Diceros bicornis minor: one gene and its partners. The protein of the gene in region 3 purifies or fractionates together with the protein of the main gene of each other region. This does not show direct contact. Links are inferred from orthologs where the notes say so. Each region holds a gene or a part of one and is shown on either strand. Other genes may lie near its edges.

Region 1 (3,747 bases), on a different chromosome or scaffold from region 3:
AGTCTTCTGTGGGAGGAAGAGGGTATTGCAATTGCCATGATGGCCTTTCTGCAGCAAAAAGCAAAAAGGAGGGGCCGGCCCCATGGCATAGTGGTTAAAGTTCCAGGTGCTCTGCTTTGGCGGCCCAGGTTCACAGGTTTGTGGGTTTAGAGGGTTCGGATCCTGGGCACAGACCTATGCTGCCCTTCAAGCCATGCTGTGGCAGCGACCCACATACAAAATAGAGGAAGACTGGCACAGATGTTAGCTCAGGGCTAATCTTCCTCAAAAAGGAAAAAAAAAACCCTTAAAGTTTTCTTTCTTCATTTCACTTCCCTCCAATAGAAATGTACTGAGCATCAATTATATGTGTGGTTGGGTCCTGAGTGCTGGAGAAACGGGGGAAATGAGTGGTGCTGATGGGGGTTGGGTGAAGGCATGAGCTATGACTCATCATTTGCCAGATACCTGAGGCACCTTCTTTTACAGGCTGGGACCGTATGTGGGCCTTCATTTGAGCCAGTGTCCAGCAGCACCAGCAGGCAGCAAACTCCCTGCCAACTCTGGCAGGTCCCTGGGATTCAAGGGCCTCCTGAGTCCAGACTCACCCAGCCTGGCCAACCTCAACTGCCACCAAGTCCTTCCCAGCATCCTGGGCCCCAGCAATACAGGCAGCTCTCTTCCTTGAACATCAAGTACATATTTCCATCCTCTGGACCTTCGCTCTGGCTATTCATGCAGCCGATACTCTGCCCTGCCCTTCCCTGCCTCTTAAGAATTTATTCGAAGGATTTATCCACCCTCTGTGAGAAACCTTCCCTAAGAGCACCTTGCAATACGTTATTTCTTCCTCTGCCATCCCTGCTTGGTTTATTTAACATCTATTCGTTGAGGGTTTGCTCTGTGCCTGACCCTGTGCTGGTCTCCTAGAACTAATTTAGCCCACCTTGCCTTCTGCTGGGAGTGAGAGTGGTTCACACCAGATTCTCAACGCCTCCAGGGCTGGGGCAGAATCTCAACGATTTCTGTGTCCGTGTCTCTCACCACCGTGTTTTGCACTTTGTCGAAAGTGTCGGATGGAGAGAGGGCTTCTAGACTGGGCTCTGCCCACTAATTAGTCGTGTGGCCTTGGGCGAATCTTCCAGCCTCTCTGGCCTCCCTTCTTCCCGATGAAATGGTTATGATGATACCTCAGGGTTGTCCAGGGGCCAATGAGGCGGGGTACAGGGAAGCATCATGAAAGCTGGGAGCCCCAGGCCAATGGAAGATGTGGGGTGGTTGTGCCCCCTTTCTCCTTTCACTGGCTGTGAAGCAGCGTCGCTCCCCCTTCACTCTCTTCGAATGTCAAATGCACCAGCTTCCAATCCCTCCTCGGGGCGGGCCCTCGGGCGGCTCGGAATCCTAGGCTGCGGAGGATTCCGGTGCAAACTCAAGACTCTGCTCCCACCCAGCCGTCCCTTCCCAAGGACTCGCCGAACACACCTTAAACCCGGCGCCAGAGCGCAGTTCAGAGTGCAGCCCAGAACTGCAGCTCCGCGGCGCTGGCCCTGGCCGGGTCGCGCATCTCCAGCCGGTGACTCAGGGCCGCTCGGTCAGGGGGTGGGTGGAGGTAGGCGGGACCGACCAGGGCCACGCGGGGGCAGCCGCCGGGCGCTCGGTCGCCGAGCGGTGGGAGCGGAGACTCGCTCTGGCCCGTCGCCATTCCGCCGCGGGCGTCTGCCTCGCCGGGCCTTCCTCCGGCGCGGCTTTGCACCCGCCGCGCTCCTCTCCGGGTGCGCAGCGGCCCGGGCTGCCGGCGGGGGCTGGAGCGCCGGGCGGGCTCTGCGCGCGAATGAATGGGCGCCCGGGGGATGCGCGCGCTCGGGGCTGAAGGGCATTAGGACCGTGAGGATCGCTCCACGCTCCTGTCTCTCCCTATCACCCCCCCCAACCCCCCACCTCTCTCCTTTTTCTGCTCTGCAGGACTGAGCAGCCAGGCGCGAGCGAAAACAAACAGCTGGGGCTGCAAGCGCCCCCGCCCCGGCCCGGAGAGCACGCCGGTCCGGGCCCCCACTCGGGGCGCCCGCCCGCCCACCATGAGGAAGATCCGCGCCAATGCCATCGCCATCCTGACTGTAGCCTGGATCCTGGGCACTTTCTACTACTTATGGCAGGACAACCGAGCCCACGCAGCATCCTCCGGCGGCCGGGGCGCACAGAGGGCCGGCGGGAGGCCGGAGCAGCTCCGCGAGGACCGCACCATCCCGCTCATTGTGAGTACGCCCTGCGCGCCGGGCGGCCGGCCCGGGAGCCGCGGCGCGCATCGTAGCCCCACGCGGCTGCAGAGGGCGCGGGGCCCGGCCGGGGCTGCGTGCCCGCGGCGCCCTGCTGGCTTTGTATATGTTGGAGCATTCCTGCCCGTTGTTATGGCAACCTCCGTCGGGCTAGCGAGGCCGGGGCGCATGGATGGAGGGAGGGTGACAGCGGGTGGGGGCTGGGAGAAAGTGCTGCAAGTTTGGTGGGCCCGGCGTGCGCGCGCGACTGGGAACGTGGCGGCTCTCTCGGCACTGCGCCGCCGGCCAGGGGGCCGGGGACTGCCCGCGCCTCGCCCGCCCCGGAAGGCGGCTGGACCTTGCGCGCAGCAAGCAGGCAATGGGAACCGCGCGCTGCTGAGCGTGTAGGTGGCCGTGCGCACCCCCACTCCAGCCTCTTGGGGGCAAAGGACGTGGGGTAGGGGCTCCGGGTAAGGCAGGGTCGCTAGAGGCTGGGCCCAGCTTTGCGTCCACTTCTCAGCCAGGGTCAACTTGAACCTGCTTCTTTGGCACGGAGGACTCCCCACTAACACCTCCCGGGGTTCTCTGGGTCGGGGAAAGGTTTCGTCCTGTACGCGCCCCTCACCACAACGCTAGGGTCCATCATGACGAGTGAGTGGACAGTGTCTTTTCTCGGACTCAGAGATTCCCTCTCACGAGGTCAGCCCCGCGACGTCAACGCGAGAGAGGAAACAAAGGCGGCGGAGCCCGGCGGGGCCCTCGGCGGAGCTGCGGGGGCCTTAGGCGCTCCGGGGACCCGGGCTGGGGTGTGCGGAGCCCCCGCCGCCCTGCAGGGGGCGTTCCTGTCGCAGCCTCCGCCCGGCCCCCGGGTGACATCTTCGTGTGGTAGGGGCACCTGTTGAGGCAGGAGGCTCCGGGAGCCGCCGAGAGGCGCGCTTCGGCGGGCCACGTTCCTGCGACCGGGGTGGGCACCGGGCGAGAGCCCTGGGCGACCCTCGGGACGAACTGCTGAGCGGGGGCAGCCCGGCCGGACGAGGACCAGGAGGAGGGAGAGCAAAGTGTGGGGCCGGGGATGGGGGCGTGCAGCAGGGTGGCCATTCTGAAGTGAAAAGATCTGGGCCTGGGGAGGGAGGAGTGAGGAGCTCCTGGGGAGGTGCGGGGTCAGGAGGGCGAACGAAGGCCTGAGTGCGGTAGAATCAGATGGTTTTTGCGCCAAGGTGGCTGAGCCCCAGGAATATGGTGGGGAGGGGGCGGCGTCGGTGTGAAAGTGCTCTCATATTCCCATCCTGCCCCAGATTCCGTGTCTTGTCACCCACCCAGGAAGAAGTGAAAATCCCCTGCCAAGCGACCACATTTCCCACCTCTGCCTGAGGAGACCTTGGGGTTTGTGGGTTTTCCTACAGCCCCCTCCCCCAATTCCCAGATCCCCCTCTGATTGAAATCTCTGGGGGTGAGCCTGATCAGGTGGGGTGTTCCTTTCTGGGCTGAGGGTCCCTGTCACTAAGACACTGTTTCC
Region 2 (3,747 bases), on a different chromosome or scaffold from region 3:
GCACTATCCCATCCACCCTACCTACAATAGTCCTTTACATAATTTTTGCTGTAGATCCTGTACTTGTCATTTGTAACACACTTCAGAATTCAGAACGAGTACAATTGTTTATTTATCATCTCCATTTGAACCTAAGTGGTATGAGAACAAGGATCACATCTTATTTGTCTACTATTCAATACTCATAATTTAGCACTGGGCTAAGCAAGGAGTAGAAACTCTAGACAATTTGTTGAATAAGTTTTTTTAAAAGAACAAATATTAACTTCGGTTTCTGATCAGGTGGGTTTTTTGTCTGTTTGTTTGTTAGTATCTGCTCAAACCAAAGTTCCATGCTACTGATGTCAAAGTTAAACAGGCAAGGAACACTTTAATATTTAAGAATATCACAATAGAGGAGAGAGGCCAGAACCGTGTCGGAACTCAACTCCCCAGAAAGAAACAAAGAGCCGGAGAAATTTTAAGAGCTAGGGTAGGGAGCATCATAGGCCACCTATGTTTACTAACTGAACTTACCCAAAGGAAAACTTAACTTTTTCTCGTAGCTTCGTGACAAGAGGTAGTTTTACAGTTTGGAACACGGCGCCTGCCTAAGTTAGGCTCCTACACTTCCACAGAGAATGAGATAGGGGTGCTATCTTCTTTGTGGATTATATTTCAAAAGGATGGCTCCAGGTCCTTAAGAAAGACGGTCCTGGGTTGTAAAACTGGCAAGAGCTTTTAAAAAGATTTATATCTCAAAAGGGCAGAGAATGAACTTACAATTACAAGGTTTCTAAAGTAAATGCTCTGAGGAAAGGGAGGTCAGGGACCTACATAGAGGCAGGAAGAGACCTGTCTAAAATTTGTACCCTAGCTGAGGGAAATGCCAAGCCTGTCTTCATCAATGATTAGCTGTGTTTCTGCAGTTTTGTACCAAGGAACTGAAATTATGAGCTTCCAACCCCTCACGGTTCCCTCAGGCAAAGAGTTGCTGCACACTTTACACAATCCCTTATTTACATTCTTACTCGTGACCCATCCGCAAACCTCTCCGCACTCCTTCCGGCAGGGCGCGTGCGCAGACGGTCGTGCGCGCCTGACGTCACTGAACGCGCCTGCCTCTACATGTTAGCAACCCAGGGCGTCCGTAGTAGCAGTGGCTGCTGAGATGTACGAACTTCCGGTTCTCGCAGCAGCTTTCGCCGCTGCCGCCTCTGCCACCTGCCGCGGCCGAGCCTCACCGCACGATTTGGTCATCTCTTCCTCGTTCTCCACTGCGCCCATGATCCCTCCTGGAGCCAGGGCGGCGGGCCCGGCGGCTCCCGTGTGGTGAGAGGGCGGTCGGGGACGATGGAGGCCCCGCACTGCAGCTGCTGCCTCAGCCGCCTCCTGGCCTCCGCCCTCCTGCTGCTGCTACTACTGCCAGGGTTCAGAGGGCCCTTGGCGGTGCTGCTGCAGGCGGCCGAGGCAGCGCCGAACACCAGGCCTCCGGACCGTGGGTCGCGGACCCTGCAGCCTCTGCCGCCCGGCCCCACCGCCGCCCACTCGCCGGGCCGCGCTCCGGCCGAAGCCGCGGGGCCGAAAGGCGCTGAGGGCGGCAATGGCAGCAGCCCCGGGGCGGGGCTTGCGGCGAACGATCAAGGAGGGAAGGCGGGGGAAGAAGGCTCAGTGGGTGGCGGCCTCGCTGTGAGCCCCAACCCCGGCGATAAGCCCATGACCCAGCGGGCCCTGACCGTTTTGATGGTGGTGAGCGGCGCGGTGCTGGTGTACTTCGTCGTCAGGACGGTCAGGTGAGGCGAAGCCTCGATCAGCCTCCCCCGCAGGCCTGAGATGGGCTGCCTGGTGACTTAGCAAGGCAGATTTTTTGACCCGGCATAGTTGCCCCATCCCTGCCTCCAGTATCAGAGGTGTCTGCCTGAGTGAGACTGCAAAGATGACCGTCTTAAAAGTCTGTGGTACCTCTGGGAGAGATTTGGGAAAGTTTTTTCTTACTAGCAGTTTCTTAGTATTGGCCTTGATTCTGCCACCTAAGTAATTAGGTTGTGCCATAAGAAGTTTCCTACATTCCACCGTTTTTGACCTCGAAAAGTGACAGTTTTGTATAGTTCAATCTATGACAGACTCCCCGTTAATCAGAAACATTTAGCATTCATTTTGCATGGCACAAAGTGTTTCAATGCAAAGTGGTATCAGTTGCATGATAAAATGGAAAACTGATACCTATGCAGCAAAGGAAAAAAAGTCATAAATATGATCCAGTTTTAATATTGGAGCAAATGTTTAATAGCCTAACAAAACTATATCTAACTTTAAATTTACAAAAATTTGAAGTAATACATGGATAAATTTGATATTTCACATACAAAAAAACTTTCTAAAATGAGTTCATCTGTAAATAATAATTCTAACATTCAGAAGTTTAAATTTACAGAATAGGTTTTTGAGTCTGTTCTTACTACAGAATACTAGATCATGGAGTTATTTAAATTTCAGATTTGGAACAGTTATGATGACTTAAATGACACTTTTCACTTTACATCTAAGGAAATTGACTCAGAAAGGTAAAGTGATTTATCTGGTGTCCCATGGGGTCTAATGATAATGTATGATTGTACAATCCACTGTTTACTTTGAATTTTTTTTCCCGGTTAACAAGATATCTGTGTCCTGATCTCTGATCAACCTTTTGATGAAGTAAACTGGGTCATTATGTTGTAAGTACCAGGTTATGAATAAAGCAGATGGTTGCCACTTATTTTTCCATTCCCCTTAATGTCTTATCAAGTAGAAAAGGAATTACATAATCCACTTAGTGATATTTGTTGTGGTTATCAGTAATCTCCATTTGATACATTCCTTTGTTACTGAAGTAAACTTTTTTTATGACATCAATCATGATATTAAAATATTCCAACCATGTAATCAGATTGATTTGGAAAAATCTATAATAAAGCCTCTTTAAGCTAGTTAATTGGGGACCACTTCTCTGAAGAGCTGACATACAGAGCCAAGATGTCGCTTTTAGAAGGAGCTAGCCAAAAGAAGAGCTGAGGGACCGCTGTCTAGGTAGTTTCCTCCTCTGTAAAATAGAGTAGAGGGTAGATTTGCATGAATGCACTGGTTTGTTGTTTTCCAAACTATTTCACATTTTTTTCCCATAACTACCTACCCTCTATTGTTTCATATATTTCTTTAAATGTATTATTTAAGCTAAAAAATTCCTTTTAAACAAATCTGTTTATTATTTTGTGAATGGAAAATAACATCCCTTGCTTACATAGCTGATTGAAAAAGTACAGCGTAAGCCACTGGTTCTAGACATGTGGTCCAGGGAACCCTGGGAGTGTGGAAGGTTCTCTGAGACCTCTTCAAGAGATCTGCAAGATCAAAACTGTTTTCAGAATAATACATTCTCTTACAAGCTTATTGGGTACAAGAAGTTCATTGATAAAGTTTTGAATTCTATATTGCAACTAACTTTTAAGAGACTACCTCTTGTTGAGTTTTGGTGTCGTATCAAAAAGGAATAAACACTAGTATCTGAAAGGGCTATTAAAATGCTCCTTATTTTTCCAGGTTCATGTCTGTATGAACCTGGATTGTCTTCATATCCTTCAACCAAACAACACATTGCAAATGGTTGAATGCAGAACCAAATATGGAAATCTTGCTTCTGTTTCTTTCTATTTTCCATCTAGTTCTATCTGTTTAAGCCAGACATTAAAAGGATTTGAAAAAAATCTAACTCAATGCCATTTTTCACCT
Region 3 (3,747 bases):
CATTTCCCAAGAATTTTCCTCACCTCATTAGCTCCTCAACAGGCCAGCTGCAGAATGAGGTAGTCTCCACGTGATGAGACCCAAAGGCCCAAGGAAGTCCCTCCCTCCCTCCCCCATGCACGTGCTCCTCTCGGAGCCCCTGGGGACTGCCTGTCACCGCCAGGCAAGCCTGTCACACTGCCGTTCACTCTCTTGCCTTCTAGTTTCACAGACAGATGGTTGACGGGGCCTTGGCTCAGACAGAACATCTGAGCCCTGAGGCTCCCATAGACGTGTGGGCTCCCACTACCCACCAGAGACCCCATTCCTCTGGCCATTTCAAATGCTCCCTGGATACTCCCAGGAAACCACAATTTCAGGGCAAAGTGTTCAAGTCTAAGACTCCTTTTCTCCTCCCTCCATCCCCAGAAAAGTACAAAAAGTGGGGCTTCATGCAGGGCCCCTGACACATATCCAGCTGCTATCACAGGACCACATGGCATTTGGACTTTAGAATGTTGTCTCCTGAGGTGCCTGCTTCTGGAGTTGAGAGGGCTATGCTGAGTTCTTCCAGAACTTTCTATAGCCATAGTGGGGAAGCATGCTGTAGTCCATTTTAATACCAAAATCTACTTTGTGTTCATTTTAACAAGCATTGATTATCTAGTGTGTAACCATCTCTGTGCTAACTATAAATCACCCTATTATTATTTCTCTAACCCCACACCCCCCCAAAAATAGTTTTTGGTCAATGTTAAGCAAGAATTAATTCTTTTCCCCATTTTTTATTCATCCAAGACACACTAATGTAACCACCAATCAGAGCTTCAGATCAACATGAGATATCAGGGCTACAGAACTAAGAGGCTGTCATTCCAGCCAAAAGCAAAGAAATTGGATTTTAATTTGCCTCATTTGGCCTTTGGAAACATTAATAATTGATAAACACGATACTAGGCGGTCCTTCAAGCTCAGGAACCCTAAGCTGGGAGTCACGGCTGCAGGAGGTAGAGAATAAATGAAACACACGGTCCTTGGCTTCCAGAAACCAGGAAAACAACAATGTAAATATATCCACGCAAAACAGTTAACTATGTCAGTAGCTCCCACCCCTTGTCCATTGCTGTTCTAACATGTATACCAATTAGGTTTTTCACCCCTAAAGGGAATTATAATGAATGTGTGCCCTCCCTCCAGTAAACAGAGAAGACATTTAATAAGTATTTGTCAAATAAATGAGCGGTGACCTACATTTTTTTAAGACTCAATTTTTACAGTGCACACTCCCAGGCAAGACTTCTAGAACGTGATCTCACAAAAAGCCCTAAGTGCGAAATTAATCAAAGAAGTCAGTGCAGCTGCTGGTCCAGGAGGCTGGTGGGCTCATCCTAAGATGGTCTCCCCGACCGTGAATGCTTATTCATTCTCTTCTCTTGAAGAGGCTGCCCTGTCTTTGAACCCTTATCGGGCCAGACTGTGGTTACTACTCAGTTGGAAACCAGTACCACATCGATTAAATGCTGGAAGTCCTAGAAGAGAGATCATGAAGGGCTGGAAGAGTGAAGGGGATGGTGACGGCGAGATCCTTATAGAACAGTAAAGGATGTAGGTAGGCAGAGAGGAAAGGAAAAGGCAGTCTTGATGGGGAGACTAGTTTAAGCAAAGGCCCAGAGGCAGAAATTAACCAGGGGTATTTGGCCAACTACCCTGAAGTTGGCTAAGCCACAGAAGGGAGGGTTTAGATGGTATCCTTACTGAGTCTGCCCTAATTCACCTGCAAATCCACATCAACACAGACCCTGCACTCCGTCTAGCATGGCAGACCTTAGTAATATAAAATCTTGACCTTTCAAAAAGATGAGTCATATATATTTGTCACCCATTGAGAATACGAGCTACTTAAGAGTTTGGGGACATCTTGCACTTTTTTTCTACCCACTCCAAAGTTATTCCCTTGAGGGCAAAATCCTTGAGAACTTGTCAGGAAATGCTGAAAGTTTTAGAGTAGGGGTGTGGCCTGCTCAAAGGAGGAGATGGGGAAGAGTCTGGAAGCAGTGGGTAGCAGGGATACGAGGAAGGAAAGACGGAAGGTTGAGGGACATTTTGGTGAACAGCACAATTTACAGGTAAAAGAGGAGAAACACAATCCTCCTGGTGACACAAAATGTGCCCCGATGTTAGGCAGTGGAGTTTCCTGACATCATACCCGCTTCTATTCCCAGAAAAGGAGAGAAACTGACATAACTAAATAAAAAGCTTTCCTTGAGTCCCCTTTCCTTTTCAGAGCCTTCCTCATTAAAGGAAATTCGAAAGGTCCAACCTTACCTTTCCCCTGGGGATATAGGGGGGCTCACCGGGTGACCAACCGTCCTGTTTTCAAAGGACTGAAAGATTTCTTGGATGCAAGACTTTTGGTTTACATTGCAACAGTTCTGGGCAAACCAGGATGAGTCAGTCACGCCACATCACATCACACGTGTGAAGGAAAGCTGACTCTTCATGCACAGAGCTTTGCAAAGGCCTCTCCTGTTATCCAAATGTAAATGACGGGTGGGAGCCACAATCCCAGGCCCCCCACAGGCTTAGGAATACCAAAGGTCAGGTTAGTGCCTTGCTTCTCAATGTGTGACTATGCGCTTGCAACACGGACACCGCCTAGGAGCTCCCAAGTGGTGAGCCTGGCAGAGATGCAAAATTCAGGCCACACCCTGACATGATGAATCAGAATCTCCATTTTAACCAGATCCCCATGATATTCCTATAGACATCAAATGTGAGGAACACGGGGTTTTTGAATAAAATTTATCCCTTAAGCAGTCTGTGAGTCTGTGCATGTGCTATTTCTTTTTTTGTTTCAATATCAGGAGAAACCATCCAAAAGTGCCAAGTGTCTTACAGCTTTTTATTAGCAATGACAGCATCACACTGCAGGAGGACTGCAGTGGATACTGCCTAAAGAGTCGTTTTATTTCCTCTCTTCATTCTTTCCTCCAGATTTCAAGAAAGAGAATGCAACGGTCCAAAACAACATCTTGGATTCAGTGGTTGCTTTGTTTATTAGGCCAGCATTTCTCAAGCACAGCACTATTGACATTTTGTGCTGGATCATTCTTTGTTGTGAATGGTAGAATGCTTAGCAGCATCCCTCTACCCACTAGATGCCAGGGGCCCCCTCTCCCAGTTGTGACAACCGATAATGTCTCCCAACATTGCCAATGTCTCCTGAGGGGCAGAACAGCCCCCACTTGAGAACCACCATCTCAGACAAAGAAGAGACACTCTTCGGGCAACAAGAACGGAAGGGAGACATCAGGGCGCTTCTGCCTGCCACGGAGTTCATTAAACTCTCGAAAACAAGGCCAAGCTGATCTCTGCAGTCTCCTGGAGAGACCAGCTGGGCGACCTCAGGGCCCACCCCACGTCTAAGATGAAGCTTTCTGCAGATGACACTAATGAAGACGAGCAGCCCCGCTGCCATAGCTCACGCCGCCTGTCCCTCCACTTACAGCTGCTCTTTATTATTTAACCCGCAGAGCACAAGGAAGGCCTTTCCCCTCTTCATTAGAGTGCCATGCTGAATGATACTGGAGGCTTTCTAACAGCATTGTTAAAATAAAAAAAAAAAAACGACTGGGTGGTTTCTGTTAGAATCACCAGAGGAAACCATCTGGCTGGATCCTCCCTCCTGGTAACATAAGGCATAAGGGCAAACCAGGGCACTGGCAGCTCCGTTCCTACCGTCAGCAGTGCTGGTTGCTAGCTGCTGTC

The links.
Region 1: the proteins of SLC39A11 (region 3) and GALNT16 purify together in Homo sapiens (co-immunoprecipitation; 3 studies listed by BioGRID and IntAct, counting the BioPlex papers as one, with this or other methods). This does not show direct contact. The link is inferred for Diceros bicornis minor from reciprocal best matches to the Homo sapiens genes SLC39A11 and GALNT16.
Region 2: the proteins of SLC39A11 (region 3) and FAM174A purify together in Homo sapiens (co-immunoprecipitation; 3 studies listed by BioGRID and IntAct, counting the BioPlex papers as one, with this or other methods). This does not show direct contact. The link is inferred for Diceros bicornis minor from reciprocal best matches to the Homo sapiens genes SLC39A11 and FAM174A.

What each region holds. Positions count from the first base shown.
Region 1 is NC_080763.1:17,780,149-17,783,895, forward strand, and holds the start of GALNT16 (polypeptide N-acetylgalactosaminyltransferase 16), read left to right. Parts: upstream 1-1,398; 5' UTR 1,399-1,552; intron 1,553-1,941; 5' UTR 1,942-2,054; coding exon 2,055-2,231; intron 2,232-3,747. UniProt on the Homo sapiens protein: Catalyzes the initial reaction in O-linked oligosaccharide biosynthesis, the transfer of an N-acetyl-D-galactosamine residue to a serine or threonine residue on the protein receptor.
Region 2 is NC_080740.1:25,273,735-25,277,481, forward strand, and holds the start of FAM174A (membrane protein FAM174A), read left to right. Parts: upstream 1-1,150; 5' UTR 1,151-1,332; coding exon 1,333-1,772; intron 1,773-3,747.
Region 3 is NC_080757.1:53,906,251-53,909,997, forward strand, and holds the start of SLC39A11 (zinc transporter ZIP11), read right to left. Parts: upstream 2,367-3,747; 5' UTR 2,305-2,366; intron 1-2,304. UniProt on the Homo sapiens protein: Zinc importer that regulates cytosolic zinc concentrations either via zinc influx from the extracellular compartment or efflux from intracellular organelles such as Golgi apparatus. May transport copper ions as well.